Astyanax mexicanus: one gene and its partner. The protein of the gene in region 2 interacts with the protein of the main gene of each other region in a biochemical or structural test. Links are inferred from orthologs where the notes say so. Each region holds a gene or a part of one and is shown on either strand. Other genes may lie near its edges. The genes, in order: rab27a and sytl1.

The links.
Region 1: the proteins of sytl1 (region 2) and rab27a form a complex in vitro, tested with the Homo sapiens proteins (3 studies listed by BioGRID). The link is inferred for Astyanax mexicanus from reciprocal best matches to the Homo sapiens genes SYTL1 and RAB27A.

The regions. Positions count from the first base shown.
Region 1 is NC_064416.1:40,332,439-40,345,675, reverse strand, and holds the start of rab27a (ras-related protein Rab-27A), read right to left. Parts: upstream 8,709-13,237; 5' UTR 8,490-8,708; intron 1-8,489. UniProt on the Homo sapiens protein: Small GTPase which cycles between active GTP-bound and inactive GDP-bound states. In its active state, binds to a variety of effector proteins to regulate homeostasis of late endocytic pathway, including endosomal positioning, maturation and secretion.
Region 2 is NC_064410.1:50,000,084-50,013,176, forward strand, and holds the start of sytl1 (synaptotagmin-like protein 1), read right to left. Parts: upstream 6,558-13,093; 5' UTR 6,543-6,557; coding exon 6,424-6,542; intron 5,600-6,423; coding exon 5,457-5,599; intron 5,326-5,456; coding exon 5,175-5,325; intron 4,011-5,174; coding exon 3,956-4,010; intron 3,691-3,955; coding exon 3,651-3,690; intron 3,483-3,650; coding exon 3,418-3,482; intron 2,797-3,417; coding exon 2,707-2,796; intron 2,535-2,706; coding exon 2,368-2,534; intron 1-2,367.

The DNA of each region.
Region 1 (13,237 bases), on a different chromosome or scaffold from region 2:
TCTCTTAATGTGTTTGAGAGCATCAATTGTAAAGTTGAATAACCTTATTTGAGTGATGTTCTAATCCATATTATGGCAAAAAATACTTAACTGAGTAAAGAAAAAATACTTTAAGAAATGTCAATCCGAAACATTTCAAGAAGTTTGAAAGTATCCTCAAGTGGTGTCGCAAAGACCATCAAAAACGTGGCTCTCATCAGGACCGCCCCAGGAAAGGAAGAGCCAAGAGTTGCGACACCACGAGTGTTCATCGAAGTTTCCAGCCTCAGAAACCACAAGTTAACAGAACCGCAGATAAAAGCACCTTAATGCTTTACAGAATATTTTGGTTTGTTTAACACTTTCAAGTTACTACATGATTCATTATGTGTTCCTTCATCGTCTGGATAACTTCAGTATTCATTTACAATGTAGGGAAACAGGAGTGTGTCCAAAATGTTTAACTGGTATCATTCACAAAAATTTGTTTGCGACAGGCCTAGACACAGTTTGGATTGAGAATCACAGCAATTATCCAGCAATAATGACTTATCAAGAATGATAGGTTTGTCTTTTAGAGATAATTAATAAAGATAATTCATAAATTTTAACAATCTACATAGTTAGAAATAGACTAGGGGTTCTCACTTAACCTGGGGGTCCAAGAGTGATACTAATTGATGGCATTTCTCCATGAAACGTGCAGAGAATAATGCCTAGCTTTTACTTGATACATCACGAAAGGCGTAACTGAAAGAAATGTGCTACAATTAAACAAACACTTTGTCTTTTTCATGGCAAATAAATGACAATTCCTTCATATGTAGTGCCGCACTTATTGAGTTAAGTATAAGTCAGCCTTTAGATTCAGACATTATACAGAGTTGTACTTTCATTTAATCAGACCAACTGATTCACCATTCGAAGCCAGCAGGGGTGGGAATCACAGGGCATCTCACGTTACTATATTACCACGGTACATTGCCCATGATAACAATGAGATTACAATACCGTAATTTTGCAATGATAAACATATTGCAAGACAATTCTCTATGATACTGCATCTCTGTTACTGAAGAGAATAAACTATTGCTAGCGAATACAAGAAATTTGGGATTTATTGCTTTTTAGTTTCACAGGTTGTATACTATTCAATTGATTAGTGCCACCTATCCATGTCATGATGATTACATTATCGAATTATCGTACAATATATGGACACAACCTCAATAATCTGACTTATCGAGGAGGACACATTGTCAACTTGTTTTAAATCATAGGTTTGTAAGTTTACACAACACTGTCAAATATAGATAAAGATAGTAAGTCAAGTAAAATGGTTTGTAAATGAAAGTAATCAGGAAAATGTATTATTTAAAGTGGTATATTTCACTTCACTATTTGTTTTATTACAGAGTCTCTGGCCCATGACTTCAAATATATTTCTTCTTCTGGCCCCCAACAAAAAAAGTTTGGACACTCCTGCTTTAAAACTTTTTAACTGTATTATTATGACACTAAACCATCATTTTTTTAGTGGCGTAAAACGTATGTCTTAACTTGAAAATATTATCACAATTGTTGCTGGGGCAATATATAGTTCACGTAGAAATAGCTATTGTGACTGGCCTAGCGGCACCACATGGATTCAAGTCAAATTAGGGAAGAATCTGAGGGAATGTAGAGCACCTATGTATCAATAACAAAAAAAAAAATAATATTTGAGGCCAAATATCAAAACAATAGGATACAATGGAAACAATAGGATGTGTCAAAATTACAATATACTGTCCCACCCCTAATTGCAGTTTTGCACACGGTTAGGTTTTTTTTCTATTTTGGAAAAGCAGTGTGCGGTCGGGGATGAGTTGGGGGAGGGCTGGTTTTAATATTTTGATCCCTAAAAAAGGGTTGCACAGCAAAAAGGTTAAGAACACAAGAACAGACACATATATAGACATAGACAGGTTAACAGGCCTACGATGTCCTTGTGCTATTCTGAGCTAATATTGGGCTCAATATTGCTAATCTTGATACTGTCACAGGCCTAAACCCCTGATCTCGCTGTCTGCACAGAGATGGACGAAGGGATGCCTTGAGAAGCCCGAGGGTTTTTTCCCTCTCATATTTTCCTAGCAGAGAGGCTGGCAGGAGGGCGGAGTGTCGAGCAGCCTGGGCAGCACTCCAACACTAATGGACAGAGTGTAGCCAGCAGGCAGGCGGATATGCAGATCCCACTGAACTTAAACAAAGGCACAGGCACACGCAGCCAAACTGGGTGTGACCCACAGTGCCATGCAGACACACACATACACACACACTCATGTCAAGTCATGACAAGTTTTTTTTTAATGAGTTTACTTCTCTTTTCCAGTGCCAGTGCTTGAACTGAACTCCTCATCATAAACACCTATTAGTGTAAAATGTCCACAAACGATGATCAGGAAACTCCACATTACATTACAACATAATCCTGTCGTCTTAAACTGAGTTTATGCAAGCCAATGAATAACCTCTAACACAACAATGTAACAAAGTCTTATACAGCAGTTTGTTAATGAATGGGACACTACTATAATGATTGTTACGTCACATTATGACGTGTGCAGTGAGAAAAATTTAACACAAAGATTAATACTAATTCTAATACTAATAAGGTCCTAGTTCATAGGTCGGCAATAGGCGGCCCGCGGGCCAGATGCGGCCCGCAAGCAAGAAACATCTGGCCCGGGAGGTTGAACTATAATGAAAAAAAAAAAATCGGACAGTCCGTCTCAAAAATGCTCTTTATTTAGAAACTTAATTTTCCAAAACAGAAAAATTTATTAAAGATTTTTTTGACACGGGCTGTTAGATAACTGCTAGCTTCTTTATTCTGTTTTTTTTTTTTTTATTCGTTTTTTTTTATTATTTAACAAACAGGTATATCATTAATAGCGCCCCCAATGGTCAGTCCACAGATTTCACCCACATCAGCCCACTTGAATGTCAGCCCCGCCCCCCCCCCCCCCCCCCCCGCCAAGTGCTTGTGGCCCGCCATGTAATGGCTTGGAATAAATCTGGCCCGCGGCCAAACTTAATTGCCGACCCCTGTCCTAGTTCATTACTACATGAATAGTTTTTACCCTCTCATTATTCCTCAGGCCTTGTGATGTTGTGCCTTATTTTAAAAAAAAGACTTTGTTGAAACTCTCCTTAGTAGCGATGCATAATTATTTCAGAATTATATCTGTATTGTTTGATAATTACTGTTTTGTTAGAACAAGTAAGCTAAATAACTGTGAAGCCAAAGAATGCAAAAACTAATTTTTTAGGAGATACCTTTCATTTTATCCATCATTGGTTCAAATTTCCCACATCGGTTCATCCATACTCTAGAGTTATCAGTCCTAAATAAACTGCAGTAGGCTGAATGGGCATTTATATAAATGCACACACAATGTTCATGGGGTAAAAGAAGCTAAGTTAAATCTCTAGTTTAGCAAGTTTCCCATTCACTAGCTAGGTCCCAATCTGCTGAGAGGATAATATAAATTAAGGCTTACAATGAAATAATTCAGTAATTTTGATTTTGCAGAGAAAGATTAAACTTTAAATAATGAGGCAAGTTCAGGAAAACAGGAAAGTTCATTGTTTCCCAATTTTTTCATAATAATGCATTAAAGGTACAGTAAGTAAGACTGTGTTTGAACAGGCTTCCGCTGAATTACATGATTTTAATCACATAATTTTTTCAGTCTGGACAGGATAAATCACTTGGAGGAGAATGCAAATTTACATGTGCTACTTCAGACCTTGACCGGGGCTTCAGACTAACATGGTCCCACAGTCCCCATTAAAAATGCACACAGGACAAGATTAAAGTTCTTTCAGGATGAAAAACCTGTGCGCAGTGAAACCAGATACAAGTTATTTATGAAGAGCCGGCTTGCTGGTTGAAATATGACTAGGAGTTTTCTTAATGCTTAACACAGAGTCTGTTTAGTAATCAAGTCACACCTTCCAAAATCAGTTTGCGGGTAAAGCTGCAAGAGAAGGAGGGGCTTGTAACCATGAAAGCCCAAATAACTGAAGACATTATGACTGTAAAAAAAAAAAAAAAACACAAATAATACACAAAATAGCAGTAATAGTAAAAAAAAAAAAATATATATATATATATATATATATATATATTTTTTTTTTTTTTTTTGAGACAGACGATTTTCAGTTTGAGGTGTCTGCCAGAAAGCTTTTGAACAGTTCAGGGGCGGTTGACAAAATATTAGTCTCAGAGTACACAAGGTACACTACACCCAAGGACGGTATGAGCAGTGACACCTTAGACATTCTCTCATCTATAAACTACTATAAAGTACAGATGTTTGGGACATTTTTAAAACTTTACAGTGTTTGCACACTACACCACACTCACATTTCTACAGGTCAAAGACTCTATATACAGTTAATATACAGCCCCAGAAAAAGGACAATGAATAGCCCAACAATTAGCCACACTGTATCTTTAATGTAATAATGTTTGGGATATAATGGACTCTTCTGTGTTAGAATTTAAACATTGTTACAAAATCTGAGCGATTTAAATAGTTCATTTATTACAAGGGTGAGAAACACATCATGACATTTCCTGGCTTAACAAAAAAAAAAAAAAAAACTGATCAAAGACAGGATCCTTCAACCCAGTCCTAATTCATCTCATAGCTAATGCTCATTTACGACTAGTTTCAGATTAGTGTAAAATAGTGGAACGCCCAAGAACACACAGAGCGATTGAGAGTGCAGTTTGCCCAGACGAGGGTAATACGGATGCAATGAGTCAGACTCATTTCTGGCACACAAACCATCCTCATCTAATATCCCTCAGCTGGTCCTCATGTGCTTTAGGCACTGTGTCATGTGACCACCCATTCCTGATCCTGCTAAAGAGCCACACGTGCTTACAAATTCACAGCAAACCAGCTAAACGTGAGCACTTAGTTTGAATCTTAGTTTCTTTGACATTAGGGCTAGCACTTAATGTAATTTATCCTTTGTATTTCAGAAATAAAAATGACATAAAAATTATTGAAGAAACTTTAATAAAGGGGTCTATTTAAAAAGGGGTGTTTTAATTTAGAGCTGGACGATATGGAAACAATAATGAAATTTCTCAAGTAAATCACGGTATCATATGATACATTTAAAGTTAATAACAAAACTGAAAGTTAGTGTTAAGTACTGAGTAAGTTTCATAAAAGGTGCACCGATGTTCTGTGCCGATGCTGATATCCGATGTGACAAGTATATATCTTTAGTCTGGTCCTTACACAGACCGCCCACAGCTTTAAACCCTCTTAACAGGGACAAAAAAAAAAAAACAGGTTTATTAAAACAAATGTTTAGCATAAATAAACGGGTTTTAAAGTAGAGCAGTCATTGCCGGCCAGTTGTAGTAGCATGGCCAGCAATGCTTTATTCTTTTCAATCATACAATAAATACATCAGCAAGTATCGGTTTGAATTATCGACCAAATCAGAAAATACAGATACTGATTTAATTCCGATATCAAGATGCACCCATAATAAATGTCTCTACTGTCCATGAAAAGGCTTCCTATTAGATTTTGGGGCATTGTTATTAGGATTGAATTGCATTGAGCTATCCACCCCACCTTACCCAAAAAATATTGGATGGAGCACCATTATCAGCTCAAAACTAGGGGATTTATACGCCTCTAGCCCACGCTTGGCATTAGGTGAAAAATGGGTTTGACACTGCAGGAAATTTTTATCTTAGTTTTACATTTTCTGTGTATTCAGAAGTTGGAATCACATAAAATGTATTAATTTAAACTGTAAAATGTGGATAAAATCCAAATTCACTCCACTTCACTTTGAGTTATTAAGCTCATATTTCACAAGTACTTAAAGTCTCATAGTATAAAGATTCAAAGAATTTGTTTAGTTCCTTTTCTTGACCGTACTACGTATAATAATTAAATTATACCATTTAAAAAAAAAAAAAAAAAAAAAAATTGACCTATGATTTTGTTGATGTTAACACAGCAAAATAATGTAAACTAATATTAGATATTACCTCCCCCCCAACCACAACTGCATACTCGAATGTAAAGGAGACACTAAGTTTGGTCACAGATCCCCCCTGATACCTAATAACTACATTTTTTATATAATTTCCACATTGTCATGCAAATGATAGCAGTATGCCGATTTTACCTTAAAATATCAGCTTTAAAATTATGTTGATACTCCACTGATTGTAATAGAGAGACAAGCATCTCTATTATTTCTTCAGGCTTGATATGCTGCTAACTTCACTATGTGACTCTGGTGAAGTGAGCACACAATGCTCACAAGAAGTGTGTAGCGCTGCATAACCTGTGTAACCTGTGTAGTCATATTTGTATAAAATCCTGTAATATTACTGTACCGCCTCATTCGCCTCAAGCTTCTTTCACTTTCAGTGAAAGGTTCTGCATCTCCCAACTTGACAAGAACAGCACATGTGAAGTGTGTCCTTTTAGGGTTTTCCCCAAGCCCAGGGCCAGGAAATGTCAATTTTGCATGTTGTTTTAACCTTTAGGGCCAAAAATATCAATATCATTGAAACGTAATAGCAGTGTAATGGTAAAATTAATAATGGTATACCAGTACACATGACATAACTCCTCTTTCAGCTCTATTCAACAAGAACATGTCCAAAAACAATGCCTGGCCACAGGAGTGTAGAGCACTATAAAGATATAGTTAATAAGAAAAAGAAGGTTGAGCAATCCACTCTCAGCAACTAACCTGCAGACTACAAGGAAGGAGGAAACATTTCTGGACTGTAATTGTTTTACAGAAAATCATAATAAAATAATATAAAAAGCATAATAAAATGTATAACAAAGAAACTTATTGATATTCTTTATTTTAAAATATTTATCAAACCACAATTAACTGTAATCACGGTAAATAACTTTAATTAAAGCTACTGTCCAATAATGCACAGAACCAGCTTGCCTTATTCTTTCTACCAGTCTTATTTAGTAGAAAGGAAACCATGCATCTACTCACAGAAATCAGGTTCCTCTTAGTTCTAGACACATGTATTAGCTAATAAAGGAAGACTTACACATTTCCTTAGTCAGCATGTGAAAATCTACGTCAAATCTTAATTCTTCAATCATCAGAATCAAACAGGCTGCAGATAGAGCATGTTTGGTATTAGATATGACCTTTGACTTTATTTAAAAATGATAATACACATTACAGGGAAGGTATATACAATAATCTATATCCCTTATTCATGCAGTGAATGCGCCAGATTTAGACAAACTTAAAGTCTTAATTGTGAAACAGAAGATAATAGTTACAATACTTAAACATTTTGAGTATTTTATGTCCGTTTATAGTGTCTATAGGAAGTTTTAAAAAGGAAGACGTGTTAAAGTTGTTGGCATCTCTCAATTTTACGTTTACTGATTTCCTGCAAATGCAGTCTGATTCCTTCACATATTGTGTACCCTTGAGGGAAAAGTAAACCCTATAGTAATCAAAGCTTTAAATTAATGTCTTAATGTTTTATATTCTAAGAACTCCTGACAATAGAATAAGCCACAAAACTATATGAAAGCCCAGTCATGCCAAAATATATAAATGTATGAAAATAAACCAGAAAATAGACATTCATTGATAGTGCCTTTATTCTGCGAGTATATACACTAGTATTTTAATTTTCACCACTAATATAAAAATATAATTGCATTTTACATTTGTTGTATTTATTCTTTTATTTACATATATACATTTATTTACATATATATAAATGTCTTAAGAAAAAAAAGTGTGATTAAATGCAGTTAATCACAGAATATTGTAATAGATTTTTTGAAAGATTGGCACCACTAGTTAAAATACAGGTTATGAAATTGTTGTTGTGTCATTTATGTTACACCATAAATTTAGCATGTTTAACTTTAAATATTTACAATTATGTGCACATAATTAAGAAAAAATAAATGAGCCACTCACTGAATTTATCTGATTCCATTTTTGATATGGCATCAATATTCAGAAATGGATCTGGGCTCTTACGGGTTAAAGAAAATAGTTTATAAAGCCCTTTTAAATGTGCTAACATACAGCCACGTGTCTGATGATGACACATGACAAGACAGACAGAAAGATATAAGCTAAACTGGGTAGGTTAGATCATTTAAAATCTCACAGCTTTGCCAGTTCCTGCACTGCATTGCCTGTTCCCATAAACTCCCCCAATCCATCATTAAAACATCAGCTACAGGTGATGTGTCACAAGCACTGGGAATTTTGCAACTTTTTCCCAGTCTGTGAGCCGAAATATCACTTCGATTAAAGTTTTAATGCTTTAAAACACGAAAAAAGTGTCTGAAAGGGCGTTTAACACGCTTAAACATATTATATCACGCAGAAAATGCAAAAACTTACAGTTTTAAGCCAATTCATTAACTTTTGAGAGAAGTAGACAGCAGAAGGGTTTAACTTACCAGGCGGCTACCTTCACTTAGTCGATATTTCTGAAGAAAAAAACGCTGCTATGCAAATTATACCAACGCCAAAGCCTTTTAAAGCTACGCGTCTAGTTTTAAACAGTGACTTTAAGCTACTTTAGGCTGAATTTGCTTTTCCTGAAGCTGAAGCACAGCCTGCATCGAGGTCCACACGGCTGAAGTCTCTCGGGGTTGACGCAGCAGCAGCACTACTTCCCGTTCAGCGCTTTTTCGTTTCCCACCTGTTTTAGGTAAAGTCCCGCCTTGCTGAGATGGGATTGGCCAGCCGCGGCTCTCCTCCTGCGCTGCGATTGGTTATCGAGCTGAACAAGCAAACCAACAGCAAATAGACGAGCTGCGTGAGGGCTCGAAGTTTTAGCACAGCAGAGCACAGGAGGGTTGAGTACGGGTGGGAAACAAAACAGGGCCTACCCCTCCCTCACTCCTTTCTCCAGGATGTTGGAGAGAATAGAGCACACCGACCACGATAGACAGGCTTCTATAACTGAACACAACACTACACTACTTTTTCAGTAATTGCTGGAACGGAAACTTGATATTTGTTATTTTTTTATCAATAATATCGTTGTTTATTAATATCTCTTAATAATAAACAACCTATAAACTATTTTCTTAATACACCAGACAACTGTTACAGAATGGCTGTATTAATGTAAATTTTAATCTAGCAATCTAAAAAAATGTAATAATGGTAATTATAAATAAAATCTAAACAAGAAAGCCTTGTGCAGAATGGCTGTATTATTAAATTGTTTAGTCTAGCAATCTAAAAAATGCAATAAAGGTAATTAAAAGAAAATGCAAGAAAAGTTTAATAAAAAATAACTTAAAAAACAAATGTAAATCTATATTTTTAGTCCTTAAAAAGTAAATTAAATTCCGTTTTTTTTCTTTTAACTTTTTTCTGCAATACAATACATGCAAGCAAAATCTGTTGTTTATTACCAGTTGTTTGTTGTCTATTGAGTTCTGTTAAATGCTAACTTTTTACCTAACGTAATTCATAAAGCATTTACAAATGTTTAAAAAAATATTTTGTTTATTTTTCAATACAAACATTACATGTCAAAAGTTTGGACACACCTTCTCATTCAATGTTTTTCTTTATTCAAATATTTATTATTACATTATAGATTAATATTAAATAGATAAAAAGATTAAGGGTCACATATGGATCTATATAATAAACAGTAATAATGTGTTCACAATCCCCTGATCTAAATCTGATGATCTGTGATGATGATTTGGAATGAGCGTGGGAACAGCAGCAGCTATTGTTCAGCACCTCCAGAAACTCCTTCAAGATGCTGAGAAACGATTCCAGGTGACTCTCCCTCATGAAGACACTGAGATTAAAATATCAAGAGTGTGCAGATCTGTCCTCAAAGATATGTGATACTTAGAATAATCTTAAGTATAAAACATATCTTCCTTTAAACACTTTCTGTTTACGAAATAATTCTGCATGTGTTCCTGTATAGCTTCAATATTATATTAACAATTTAAAAAAAATCATAAAAAGGAAAAAAACACACAGATTGAGAAGAGGTTTGTCCAAACTTTTGGCTTGTACTGTATGTGGTTCTTTTAATTTGGAGGGTTAGCATCTGTCTTATCCTATGTGATGCTATTATTTCGTCTGAATTATCAATACATCTTTTACTTTTTATATAATAAAATGTACTTTTTACTTTAATGATTCTGGATATATACCTGTGCTTGTTTAAATCCTTGTGAAACAGTGTCCTTTTTTCTCTATACATTAAGTCTATATGTTTGTTTTTTTAATATTTACAAGGTTTTAACTACATGTTAAAACATCTGTGCTGTATTCAGAATCAATTTGCATCATTTCTTTTCTACAGCATGGTAATCTTATAACAGCATAACAATAGTTATATAAAATAAATAAATAGCAGCTGCTTTTCTTCATCATAATTGGTGGATGTTATTTTTGCACCACCTTGTGGCCTCGTGCTTTAAAACCAGTGAGTAAAGTACCCAAAACCTGTATATTAATTGAGTAGATACCAAAAATAAAATATAACTCTGGTAAAGTAGAAGTCCCCCCTTTAGACCTCCACTTCAGTAAAAAAAAAAACTTTAAATTTACTATATGACAATAATGTGCTATTGAAGTTTTCATAACCAAACCTCGTTGTTAATCAAATCATTTTAGGTGCAGAAACGGTAGTCTTACTCTTGCTTCACCAATCTATTTAATAAAATACTCTTGAACTTTTTCCACATTTTGTCACCTTAGAAACACAAATTTAAATGTATTATATTGAGATTATAAACGATAGACGCAACACAAAGTAACACAAATTTTCGAAGTGGAAAAACAAAATTTAATCAAATAAAACTTGAAAAGTGGGATGTGCAAAAGTATTCACCCACCTAATCAATACTTAGTAGAGCCATCCTTCACTGCAATTACAGCTTCTTCAGCGTCTTTTGGGGTTTGTTACCAGCTTTGCACATCAAGAGACTGAAATTTTGGCCTATTATTCTTTGTAAAATAGCTTAAGCTCAACCAGGTTGGATGGAGAGCGTCTGTGAACAGCAACTTTTACATCTTGCCACAGTTTGTGGTTGTAAGGTGACAAAATGTGAAAAAGTTCAAGGGATATGAATACTTTTTAAAGCCGCTGTACAGTCTGTGATTACAGAACTACAATGTGCTCCTTTATGCTCAGTGGAGCTAAACAAATGTGATAATGGGTGCAGAAACCAGGAGGTAGAAACCAGATGCTGAACTGTTCGCTTCCAATAGTTACTTACAACCAATAGGTCAAAACTAATTAAACACTGTATCCTGATTGGCCAACTTTATTTTTGTACTATTTTGTCTATATGTGTTAGGTTTTCATAAACACATACACCAGAAGAGGAACGACTTTTACTTTTTTGGGGTTATGCAGAGTAGATGTGTGTTGTGGAGTAAAAAGTCACCTATAATGAAAATAGAACAGATACAAAAACAGATTGGCCATAAATTAATACACAGGATCAATATATATACATATTTTTAGAATATGTACATGGCTTTTTATTTAGTTAAACACAGACAAACTGCAAAGGCACACAGATGCATGAACATATTGATTTGAGAATCACTGTCAAGCTTCATTTGGCTGCAGAAGCCTCTGGTGTTGCTCCAGTATTTGTTGCACTTGCGGCTGGTTTGGCAGTATTTTCATGTACGCCTGGATCAGTCCCTTTACTGTCTGCTTCAGTTTTGATGTCCTGTTGGCTTGGTGTGCTTCTGGACCTTCGTGGAAGTTCAAACATGGGTTTGTAGATATAGATGCCCCCTCCTACCCCGAGCAGAGTTGCAAAAGCGATCTGGTTGAATGGTATCCGCCTTGGAAGCATGATGGCAAGTCTAAAGAAAGCTTTTCAGTCCATTCGAAAATTATTGCTAGTTTCCACCAAAGTCTGCTGCTGAGAGAGGAAATATTTCAGTTAATTTAATGCAGAAGAGAACAACTAGCAGTCCACTAACACAAACATTTTATTGCAACTATTTTGCACAAAAAGAAAGTTTACACTTTAAAAGTAATTATTTCTATTAAGCGGCACAATATATTGTTTTAGTATCGTCATCATGATCCTTTATAAATTTCAGGCTACAACTTGCTTGATACAAATGGGAAACTCTTACTGTTCTAATTTTCTTGGAAAGACAAAGAGCATTAATAATACAATGACCAGGGGTGTAACGATTCACTCTGTTCTCGATTAGATTCATGATTTAATTTTCTCACAATATTTGGAACAAAAAATGTTGAATGACAAAAAAATAAGGAGACTTATAAGCCTGGAGAACCAAAACTTGTGCAATGATCACGGTGCCCCCCCAGCCCCCCATATAGCAGAAAAAAGCGCTTGTGTGATTGGCTGCAGTCAAAAATGACTGACATATCCTCCACTCTGTTCTTACGCCCTCTGGTTCTTTGGTTCACACTAGCGGGATTGTGACCTCAGGTGTTCAAACCATGCAACTGCATAACATTTCATATGCTTCGTATGCTAGATTTAATTTTTACTCAATTATTTCTTATACATATATTAGATAATTTGTTGCATAATCTAAAGTTTACAGTTTACATTTTACAGAAAATACTGTTCACCTATGACAAAAAATCACACTGGTCATCTGCATCTCTCAACCTGCATGGGAGGAAAGTGAAAACTGAAGTTTAGAAAGAATTTAAATCAGTACAGCATTATTATTTTTTTTTATATCGTCAGTAGTTCAGGGTCAGCAAGCAAGGTTGCTGGTTTGGTAATAAAAAATGCTCATTTTAAGCTAACTTCTTCAGCTCATCTTGCTTTAAAATAAATTATTTCTAAAGCACTTAGAATTAAAATTCAGCGTATAGTAACTGTGTAACCAGCACAGTAACCTTTCTAAGTAATGTTGATTACAAATTATACAGAAACAGACCAAAGCTGTTTCTACGTAATGTTTAATTTACATTATACAGTACCAGTCAAAAGTTTGGACACACCTTCTCATTCAATGTTTTTTCTTTATTGATTTTTTTATCATTGTAGATTAATATTAAATATTAAATGTTCTATCATATCGCCAATATTATCGTTATCGCGTAAACAGGGTAAAATATCGTGATGTGATTACCGTGCCCAACCGTACTTCTTACCGAGTTCCGGGAGATTAAGCAGTCTCAGGAGGATCAGAGCGCGCGGGTCTGACT
Region 2 (13,093 bases):
AAATCAAGTGAAGATGTACTGCAGTGTGAAGTTTTCTCAGTAGGGGGCACAATCAGTACAGAAATACTGCAAATATTCAACCCTAAAGGAGAAACAAAACACACAGTAACAGCTAATACTGGCCCATATATTACTTATATATACACACATTATTCAAATTTAAAATCACATAGTCACTAATGTTTCATAAAATAAAAGATCAAGAAGCTTCATAATGCATGCAACACCCAGTTCTCAGTTATTTTTGTGCTTCTACCCAATTTAATTGCAGTCTTCATTACATTACTGCTGCAGATTCCACTGCTAAGGGTCTTTATTTCTCTCCACTGGCAGTGCAAGTCCTTCCACTTTACTTCTGAGTTTATTCTGCTTTGTCCCTGTTTGTACTAGCTCATTAATGTTGACAGTACACTGTATACACACAAAGCTCTCGTTCTCTTTACTCTTTTCCTGTGCTAATTCCACTTTGCTCATTTTGTGTTAACTTGTAAATGTAAACGTTACCTTTAAGTCCATTTTTGTGTGATTTTTAAAGCAAGTTAATGATTTTAGATGCAGGTTGTGACTACCTGATACATCATTAACTGCATGTTCACCTTCACATTACAAATCATTAAAACAGAGCTCTCATTTACTTCTCCTGTCTGCTGTTCTGCTGCTATGTCTACATGTTTATCTGCTGTGGTGGCCACAGTATTTTTAGTCCAAATAACTGCACCACACAGTCTGACCATTCTGACCAGATTTGACCTTTTGAAACTGGCCCAACTCTGCAGGAAAACCACACACCTGGCAACTCTCGCAGACTGTAAGTTAAAAGACTATGTGACAAACAAATAAAAAGCTCTGTAATAGTCACATAGGACACCTCATATCTAAATGTCCATCATGATAATATAATTTATGGTGATAATTCTGCAGACCGCCTTCCTTTATCTAATTTCAAATTACTGTACAGGTCTAAAACAGACCATAATGACCTAAATGAGTGATGAATTGTCTTCTCTTTTTATTATTTTTTATTTAAGCTTCAGTCAGTAATGTGTAAAGCCATTCTGTTATGCGTCTGCCACTTGTTTCTACATTTCTTCAATGGGCTACTTTAATTAGGTCTGTAAGAAATTGTTATATTTAATATATATTTACAATTCTGTGAAAAAAAAACAGGATATCCAGTATACATGCCCAGCTACAATATTTGTCTCACAGGATGTCATACAGGTTCTGTATGTCCTCTTGTATTCAACAGGATACTAGAGCCTCCTTTTAATTGTATTGTATTTTGCATTTTAGATAGATTACACTCTTCAAAATGGTTTAATATGATTATTATTTATAAATAATAGTTTTTTTTAGAGGTGAACAGTATGGACAAAAAATGCAATGTGCCGTAACGGTGTTAAATATCCTGTTCTCAACATTAAATATGATAAATAAGGATTCTTTAAACTCCTCTAAGGTTCTCATCACTTGTCTTGCCTGCACTCATTCCGCTTAGTCTCAGAAGTGGTTTGGTGTGGTTTGAGTGTTTACTCTGCACTTTTACCTCTCTCTAAGCTTCTTTGCCTCACTCCAGCCTCCCTTTGTAAAAGAAAAGTGTATTAAGTATATTTTTAAAAGTATAATTAACATGAAAAAGTACATACATTTTACAATTAAAATATGTACTTAAATTGTAACTTAAGTATATTTCAACTGTAATTAAGCTACATTTAAACACAACATAAAAGCACTAGATTGTGATTTTAAGTGCTTCTTTCGTACAACTTCTGCAAACTTAAGTAGAATTAAGTATGTGGTTTTTAAATATCATTTTAATACACTTAAAGTAACATTTACATAATGTATATTGTCCATGTAATAGTTTGTGTATTGACGCACAAAGTGTACACCTTACGCTACTGGAAAAAAAAAATACACGTACACTTTAAGCAGTATTTAATGTCACGCTATATATATATAAACCAGAACAATGTATAATTTAAAGTATATTGCTTAAAAATACATTTTATGGAAATACAGAGAAAGTATATCTAATGTGTATTTTCATAAAGTATATTAAATTGAAAATGCACTTTTAGTAGTCTTTACCCTTAATTTAAGCACATAGAATAGAATAGAATAGAATAGATTTCCTTTTCACAATGGTCATTATGTCAGATGGGAACCGACAATGTAATGTGAAGATAATGTGAAGTAATTTGAGTTTGCTGTTATTCAGGTGTTATGCAGCCCTTTTAATGTGTTTATCGTGAAAACCCTTATTACAATAACAACATAGATACCTTTTATTTATTTATCCAAAAGTCCTAGCAGTTATAACACAAACCTAGAACATACATGGCATCATTTTTGCCAGACACTTACGGGTCAGAGCGGTTATTACGTGCTGGCGCCAGGTCCTGACAACAACACACACGAACATGGAGTTCCTCCTTCTTGGGATCATAATGCAGAGAGAGCTGAATTCGCCCAGTCACTGTTACACCTCCGAAATCCCCCACACTGTACAGACTCATCAGACTTCCACTCATCTGCAATAAACACAAACACTTACCACAGTCAGTCAGATTATTCTTGCAATAACTTACAGCTCCAGAGGCAAAGGTTTAAAGGTCCTGTTGCTCTGTGTAACAGCGGCTGAGATGTCTGAAGCACCAGCTCAATGCCAGCGATGTTGCTCTTAGGTGCAGGTGTGTGACGTACCATATGACTGGAGTGCAGGCTGTTAATTGAGCCAAATCTGGTGTCAGCCAGTTCAGTGCTGCCAGAGTCAATATCACCCTCTGAGTCCACCTACATACACACACCAACAAGAGAGGAGGTAAAACACTTCTGTGCAGATGTCTAAACAAGGAGTGAGTGAAAATATTGATGTATTGGAGTATTACAATATTTTGTTTGCAATTCTATATTCATGTTTAAAAACACAGTACAATTGTTTTATCATTAGTTTACCTGGTAAGATTGGTGTCAGACAGTAGCCCACTAGGTAGAAATGTTGTGCTCCTTTATTATATTCCACTGTTATGATACTGTTTATGCATGTTTTGATTGATTTTTAGATTTTTGAAATATGAAAGTGTTATTTCTACTATGACAATTTTCCTAAAATTTGATTTAAACAATTAAAACACGTCTTCCTTAGAATATCACACTATATTTTGAAATATCGAATAGTAACCCCAGTATCATCTTACATATTGCATTGCCAAGTTCTTACCAATACACATATTCAGTCTAAACACTAGGTACATTACATAATATTCTGTCTTCAGTTTGGGTTACTGCATTATTTCACATGAATGATTAGACCAATAGAAATTGCCCAAAATTGGCATCTTTACTGTTTTACTTTAAATTTGAGGACAATGCTGATAGTTTTGTTTGGACAGCAACGTTATCTGTTAAACATACCAGCAGTGTTGGAGAGGCATTCTGTAGAACTCTGTCATTCACAACATCCGAATCTGCAACACTTTCTGAGACAGTAGTTCAGAAATAGTGATAAAGAAGTAAGAGAGAAGAGAGGAGAGGAAAAAAAGAGCCTTAGAATAAAGTGAAATAGGAGCCACTTCATGAATCTATTCACTTTATGAACGTTCAGTTACTGTTGTGTGACGTTCACACAATGCACATGCAGAACTTACCTTCAACTCCTGAACTACCTTCTGTGTTCTCTTCATTTTTCTGGGGATAAAAAAATGTAAATGCAAATATATATACAGAGGTGTGCTTCATGTACATTATAACCCTGTATGTATAATTTAGAAAAAAGACGATTAAAACATTTTCTATTTACGATAAACAGTATATCCCAGACACTCAGATTCTTCCACAGAAAAACAGCCTAAGCCCAAATTGCCATAATAAGAATTTCAACTTTTAACCAAAGCTGCCCCTACGTAAATACCTCTTATTCTTACATACAGTACACACAAACAGAAATACTGACCTTGGGGACACGTTTCCTCCTGGGCCGTGGTTCAGGGGCCACAATGAGGATGGGACTGAAGAGGAATGATTAAGGTTAGTTGAAATAATGAGATGCTTTTGATGATTACTTCATATCAGTTTTAAAGTGAAAGAAACAAAAAGTAGCCACTCTACAACCATGAGCTACAATTATTAAAATGTCTTGTCTAACAGAATGTCAGTCACTCCAGTACAACTCAGAACTCAACTACAACCACAGCTCTGGTTGGTGATAGCACAATTACAGTACCGCACTAGGTCACTGTTTAAAGGACAAAATACCTGAGGACCTTTTGAAGGTTCCTTAATTAGAAAGAATCTTCATTTTAAGATCCTAAGAAGAACCTGTTCTTAAGGACAAAAGCCCTCAAAAGAGCATTAAAGAGCTTCCACATAGTTGGAACTAGAGCTGCACGATATTGGAAAAAAATTACATTGCAAATGTTCTTTTTTTGACTATATATATCGCGATATTAAACAATGCAGGGCCCATGGCGTCACCAGCCCCACCCCTACCCACGCGCTGTCTTGCATTCGAGACGATCAAGAGCTGAGTCAGCGCTGAGCACTCAAAACCAGAGGAAAACAACAAACAACAGTAATAGGCTCTTTAATCAGGCATTCAAATGGGCTTTTTAAAAAAGGTAAATAAGAGCGTTTTTCTGGGATTAAAAGCGTGAATTCAGCTGTAACTGGAAATATCTGCACAAAACTGTACTGCACTGAGGTTTGGACTGGTGCATTTACAAGCACATGCCCAACCATGTGGATAGAGGCCATATGCAGTGTTTACTCCTGCCCCTCTTCGAGCTTCTCATGCAGACAGCAGCAGCCTGTCACTTACACAGACACAGAGACAGCGCTGTGTATCTACTTCTCGTGTCAAGAATCAAAACATTACAACATGACGTGTTTGATTTAACTGCCATAAGTGACATCACATGTCCTGCAATTGTGCATGTGCACATTGCGATGACAATGCTTAAACAATATATCGTGCAGCCCTAGTTAAAACCATATTTCATACTAAAGAATCCTAAAGGACTTAGAGAAACCTCTAAAAGTACCTTTAAGACAAGACCCTTTAGTTCTTAGTGACATAGAAACTTTTATAAAAGGAACTACTTATTAATTACAGTGCAAAACTAATTCACATCAAATAGGGCTTCAGACTGTGACAACTTAAACACTGCATCAACCTCTCTCTCTTTTCTTCCTCCTCAGTTTCAGTTTCTTTTTCCACGATTTCTGTTTCTTTTAGATCTGCTGTGTCCTCTACTGCGCTTTCTTCCTGATTCTCCGACAAATTCTGTTCCTCCTTATCCTCAAACACCGACATCACAAGCGTATCTGCACAACAAGAACAAAGACAGAGAAGGGTAAATCAGCGTTTAACAGTAACTAAGAAAAAAATACATAAATGTGCACTATAATGAGGGCACAATTTCACTTATGAGGTTAAATGTCAGTAAATATAAGACCTTTGCCCCGTTTTTTGCGTCGTATGGAGGCGTGGATAATGTCAGCCCCTCTGCTTTGATGCCGTTTGGCGCGCTCTTCAGTAAACCAGGTCCCACTGAGGGAGCGCAGACGCACAGGGTCCGATTCTACCTGCCCAAGCTTGCTAAAAACACAGACATAGAAACACACATACGAAAAATGACCGCAAAATAACATACATTAGAATGTCTCTATCCTTATCGGCAATATTTGCTGACTCATTCTATAAAAACTTTAAACTTTCTACCTCAGTAACTGCTGTGCTCACGCATGTGATATATGTTACAGTATGTTACATATCTCTGCACCATATTCTCACCATGCACATTTTATTGTACCGTATCAATACTGCACTGTCCTGTCTGTTAAATTGTCTCATCTTTTGAATTTAATGTATTTATTGTAGTGTTTGCACTTTGTGTTTGTCTATTGTATTGTTGTTCCATGTTGCACCATGGTTCCGGAGGAACGTAATTTCAATACACTGAACAACTGTACTCAGATGTAATAATAATAAAAAGCCTCTTGACTTGACTTAACATTACCATTCAAATTCCTTTCCGTTCCTTGTTTTATAACCCTGCATAAATTATATCAGAGATTATATCTGTCCAGTATCATTTATTTTACTTTAATCCTCGAGATCCTATATGAAGATATTTGGAATTCATTATTAGTATTATGACATTCTGGATCATTGACTTCTGTTACAAATCTGATAAAATTCTTGTATTTTTTAATATCTCAGTTAGGGGCGTGCAATATCATATCATATACAATAATAAAATTTAATTTTAATTTTAATGCAGTAGTGTATTCTCGAAATTATTGTTTTTAAATTCAGTGTTTTGTTATATCGGCAAGAGTATTGTTATCGCAAAAATACAGTAAAATATTGTGATATTATTTTAGTGCCATATTGCCCGCCCGTACCCCTGACCCACTCACCTGATCCTGCCCTCCTCCCGCTGCCGTAACTCAGCATCCCTCAGCAGAACGTTTAAAATCATGGTCTGTTCCACCTCGGTCAGGTGAGCCAAATCCAGCAGATCAGCTTCCTCCTCCATATCGAGCTCAGCTCACGCACCTGTGATGGAAAGTGTTTACTGAAATGATTCATAATCAATGACGTGTGATGATTCATAAACAATGACGACTATTAATGATATTACTTTTTGTTCTATGCGATGATAATGTGTACTGTGAACATTTTACCCTCAGTGAGCTTTTCTGAAATGCTGAGTAAGAGTTTTCTCTATCTGGCGCCAGCAGTGTGTGTCTATGTGTGTGTGTATGTGTGTGTTAAAGGAATGTACGTCACAGCTGTTGTGTCTACAAGCCCTGGCGCCAGGGCCATCTCCCTCTCCTGCTTGCAGTATTTTGAGGACCAGCCTGAGATGCTCACTAAGGGATTATGTCATATCACATGTCAGAAGAAGTTGACGTGTCACAATGGTGGCACTGTGCCCATAATTGGGAAAGCAAGATAGTAAGGGTGGGGTATAAAGAGAGCTTGGCACTCTTGCAAGGCAGGAGTTCACTCTGTATTCATTACGTGTGTCTTCTCAATAAATCTTGTTACTCATTCTGATCAAGACTCAGAGACTCTGAAAATTTCTTTCTTCCTGTCATTATTTTTCCACCACACACCCCACTCTGCATCAGAAACACCAACAATTAGCACTGATCACAATCAATCACCTATATCTGCTTCAAATCAATAACACTAAAACTGTTTGATGTGACTCTACACACCAAAGCAAAGCACTCATGTTCTGATAGAGCAAACCTGGAAGTTAAGGGTGGAGCTTTAAATGAGAATAACAAAAGTCACCTGTACACTGTGTACACACACACACACACACACACACACACACACACACTTCACTGCTCCCCTCCAGCTCTTCACAGCTCAGCTCTTTAACCACTAAACAAGCGAAATTATCTTTTGCCTGTTTGCTCAGTATTTGGACAGCTAAAACCAAACACGGCATAAACTGCTGAGAAGGACCTCGTAATCAGTTCATGTCGCAGATATCTCACAGACCAAATATCATTTAAAAACTGAAATCTATGCAGAACTCTGAAGTTCATGAAGTAGTTCAAATGCGGTTTGCAGATTCTGTTTTCAGAAAAGACACTTTAATGGCTAAATCAACAGTACATCAGAAGGGACTGAACTCGCACCATCATCACTATCACACACTTCATGATTAATTCACATACTTTTACATTTACAAACCCATGATGTTTTGCCTATAACTACATTGTACCAAGAGTTTAGGCTGCTTTACAAAAAAATCTTTAAACAACTAAAATGTGTACATTTGGCCTAAATTAAGTAATTTAATCTTTTTAATCTTTTAGCTTCATAAAGCTATCACAAAATATATAATAGAATAATACATAAATAAACCAACCTGGGCAGCACAGGGAGAAGATCAGAACATGGACAGAATCAGATGCACCACAGTCAAGTAAATCTATTAAACATAGCCTGGTTACCATCCCTGGTCCTGTAAGTGCCCTGTCCCCTGCATACCATGCCCATGTGGGGTCTGTACAGGGAGCTCAACTGGGCCATGGAAAAATTTAAGTCCATGGCCCACATATAAATGTATATGATGGGTAAAATAAATAAGTAAAATACATGTACAAATCCATGTAGAGCCCATGCTGATGTAAAACCCATTTGATACCCATGAGAGCATATCTGCTGGGACTGCACGTTAGTGTTTTCCTGAGCTAAAACACTCCTAACTCTCTAGAAACACCTGAGCAGAGTACAAAACGAATGTCTGTCAAAATCCAATTTCAAAATCCAATTTCTGTTCCTCCAAAAATAAAAAGAATTCTGTTTAAAAAAAAGTTTGTAAACAACTCGTTTTAAAAGATAAGAGGAATTAAAGCTACTGAAAAGTTGATACTGAAAATGATAAATGATTGTGATTTCACAAAGTCCAGTTTCTCCCAAAAGAGCAATTATTATCTAAGATAAGATACAATAAGATAAAATAAATAATAAAGTAATACATTTACAAGGTACTCCAGATAAAAGAAAGAATAAAGTAATACATTTAGAATGTACTCCAATTGTATTACAAATTATGTTTGAAAAAAACATTTAAATCTTAAATCTACGTTAAATCTAAGTTCACAGAAGTTATACTTAAAAAGCACTCAAAAACACAATCTAAAGCTTTTTTTGTTGTGTTTAAATATAGCCTAATTACAACTGAAATATACTTGCGTTGCTGTAAGTTGTTCCAAAGTAGTGCATTTAGTATGTATTTAAGTATGTATTAATTTTAATGCTAAAACTATGTACTTTACCATGTTAAGAACATTTTTAAAATATATACTTGAGCGCACTTTTCTTTTATAAAGGTAGTGTTGTTGGGAAAATACAGTTTGGCACTGGCTCTTTATTAGAATAATCAGACTCAAGACACAGATGATATAAAGAAAAATACACTTCGTATACCACTGGCTACAAGTTTTCTCCCAGGCAAATAGATTAAATTTCATGTGTTTGACTTTAATAAAAGTAGTGTTGCTGGAAAATACAGCTTGGCACTGGCTCTTCAACAGAATAGACTGACTCAGGACAGACAAATATACTTAATATACTACTGGCAACAAGTTGTATGCTAGGGCTGATGATCATCAGATTAATTTAGATGAAATGTGAGGTTTTGGGTGCAGGGTAAGCACCAAAATGTGGAGGAGTGAGGATCCTCCAGGACCAGTGCTGGGAACCACCGATGTTCTGTCGAGTTATGCTACCTATCGATATGTGCTTCTTTATGGAACTGCGCATGCGCTCACCAACATTTTTTTTAACGTTCTCATCATGTTTTTCATGATACTTCATTAGTTTTCATTGGGAGCATTAAACAACTTGATTGCATGTTTAAATACTGTAAATATCAGTTAAAAAAATAAAATATAAAACAACGTTAAATGGGCATAACTTTTTACCTTTTTTGGTGTTTTTTTTAAATTAACACTACTAGGGTAGCACGGTTTGACAAGGTGGCACAACTCGACAGAACACCGGCCTAAACAAGGATGCAGGGATAGCAGCAGGGAGCGCGCACGAGCACGCGCACCAACAACAGGCAAGAGTAAACAATCAGCAGGCTGTGAAGGCCAGAGACTCTCCCATTACTACCCTCAGTAAGTTAGGAAACAGATGCATTTGGGTCAAAAAGTATCTCCACACCGTGTGTAGAAGTGATAAACTCTTCACACAGTAGTTTATAAGATTTAAGTGATCAGTATAGTCCAGTTTCTGACCCTGACCTTTCTAACAGAACGACTGGGGTCTTTCTGAAGTGAACCTGCACGTGTCTCTACTGCAAATCCGCGCATCCGCCCAGACTGACTGACTGCTATACAGTGTGAGTGCAACTGAATGAGAGCTCGTGCACGCGCACCTGCTTCTCCAACTGACCCTTTACTTCACCAACACACACACACTGAACACAGAGTGAGTTAATTAAAGTCTCCTACCTGCAGGTCACTCAAAGTGTCCCATTCAGCGCTGTGTGCTGGAGTTAGCATTAAGCAGAGTTTCAGCAGGTGGAGCGCGAGCTGGAGCAGCACAGCTACAGTCCTGTTTCTGCATGAGCTGCCTTCATTAGAGACTCAGCCCCGCCCCACAGCTCCCTGCAAAATCTGAACCGGACTCCACAGCTCACTGCACAGAGAGACTGATTAATATTCATCACCTCATTCTCCCCACTCTCTATCCAATCTATAACTAAATTAAATTAATTAACAAATATATTAATAAATACATGAGATATTCACATTAGACCATCAAATACTTTAGCTAAAGTCATTTGTGAAGAGTGTAGCTTGTCTGTCTGTCTGTCTCCGTCTATCCATTCATCCATCCATCCACGAAACTATCCATCCATCAACAAAACTTTTCTATTTGTCCATCCCATTGTGTCTCCCATTCTCCTTTATTATATCTATTATCTGTACTTGCTGTAAAATTGGGAATGAGAGTAACGTAATTTCAATTCTCTGTATGTCCTGTAGTATTGACAATAAAACTACTTGACTTGACTTGATCCTCCCAACAGCCTATCCATGTGTTCATCCACTCACCAACCATCCATCCATCTCACTCACCAACCATCCTTCTGTCCGTCCAACAATTTAGCCATCCATCCATTCATCCATCCATCCATCCACCCACCCACCCAACCATCCTGTCTTTCCATCCACCAATTTAGCCATTCACCCACCCACCTATCTATCCATATTTTTCCATCCACTAAGCTATCAATTCATCCATTTATTTGATCACCAACCACGTACCAACTTATCTATTTTTATTTGTCCATCCATCCATCCATCCATCCATCCATTCACTCACCAAACTATTCATTCATCAACAAAACTTAGCATCTATCCACCCATCCTGGCATTCCATTCATCCATCCACACACCCACCAGTTTAGCCTACTTATTTTTTTATTTACTTTCAAACAACTTTATTAAGTAGAAATATAATTATACTATTGTTTTCTGAAAAAAAAGTATATCATGCTATTAATGCTACATTTAACTATCTATCTATTTTGGTCTGTCTTTGATTGCCTGAATTTCCTTTCAGCTGTAAGTGTACATATTACATGTAGTATCATTTAAACAGAAAACAAACAAAACAAATGTAAACCTTGTACTTTGAGGCTAATGAGTGTAACTCCAGTAGTATGATTATGAAAAATACATTCAGTCAAGTTTAAAGTGTAAATGGTGCAAGTGAATGGACTTGTATGTAGAGAATATTGCATGGCTATGTTCATGTTTGTGCACACTGCAGTCATGCACTCTGATCTGCAGCTCCGGGTAGCTGAGCATGGCCAGTGCTATCAGTACACACCTGCTGAATACACAGCCCTTCACACACAAGTACACCCAGTAAATACACAGAAAGCAGCATAAGCATTATGCAATCATTACACAATTACACAACTTCCAAAACCAAAGGCTGAAACGCTGAGTGTAAAGAATCCGTGTTTTTATTATTGTAGTAATTATTTTGACGAATTTTGGCAAGTCTTCTTGTCTGCTGATTTATAGTGGCAGGTGAGAAGGTGTGTACATGGGTATTTTATTACTTCCCCATCCAGTGTGTGAAAAAGTCCCTCCCATGGAGACACACAATGATTATCAGGAACATTCTGAACAAACCTTTTGTTATGCTTCATTCTGAGTAATGCTGAGACACCTAGGAATTCTTCTATTCTTTTATAACAGCAAAACATTCATTCTTTTAAAGAACCATTTCTGTTTTGTTAAGCATAAACTGTTATAGGCTTGGTCATCAACTAAAAGAGACATTTTACTCATTGAAACCCTTTTTTGGATTGCTTTTAGAGCCACACTGCTTGTAAATATATGTAAATTGATCATGAAGTGTTACTTCTGGGTATGGCGTGGGAAGCCACACCTGCATCAGTTGTGAGGTGTTATTTTGTAAGGCTTAAAACTCACCAGTGTGCTCATGGCCAGCTATCATGAATTACTTTTGAGTGAATTAGTTTGAGCAAGGTCTGATAGTGGGTGCCAGATGAATGAATCATTCCATTTCCAAAGTTATGTGGCCCTTTAACATCCTCAATCCAGGAAAACATTGTAGAAGACATTACCATCTACAGTAGACAACGCAGTGGGTGGTAATGATCATGACGAGCAGCTGACATGTGACTCTGGCATTATCACCTCCATATTCATTGCAGGAGACCTCACATGCACATCCTGCAGGTCAGTGCACTTGTCTTTAGTGTCAGTGGAACATATGCAAAAGTCATAGGACACAATACTAGTTTTCTTTACTATGACATGTGGCATGTAAGTGTATGATAATATCATAAACAATACATAAAAGAAAGAATAATGTTAAAATAGTAGCTGTAAGGAGATAACAATAATGAAAATATCAATATCCCACCATAAATGTTCTTATGTGCTTATTCTTAACACAGCTAATGATTAAGCTCATGTGTTTGAATACAGGAACTTCTGGCGGATATACATTTACTCATCCTTAGAAACTGACCTCATAAACTGCTCCATATATCTGTTTATTACCATAAAACAATTACTGTAGAAAAATGTAATGTACTCTCATAAAAAAATATTACGAACTATGATAGATATGTTAAATATACGAAATATAAATATTACGAAATATATATATTTTTTATTTAAGTTTAGATTAAAATAGTTTGACTGCAAAGAGCATAATGAAATAGATAAATGAACAGATAGATTGATAGATAGAATAGATAAGTTGGAAGGACTGTGGTTGGTGAGCTAATGGATGGATGAATGGACAGGTTGGTAGATAGACGAATAGATCAAATAAAATATATTTTAACGTGGAATTCAGTTTAATCTATCAGTAATAAATAGAAGAATAAGGCACGTGTATAAATCTTGTGCACTGTAAGCCCGGATAAGTTTGAATTTACTTAAAAAAATTGAGGAAACCTGTTGCCTTAAAAAAGTTAAGTAATGGGTTATGAAAAGTTAAGTTAGCATGACTTAGAACATCAAGTTATTACAACCAAGGGAAAAGTTGATTTTTTTTATA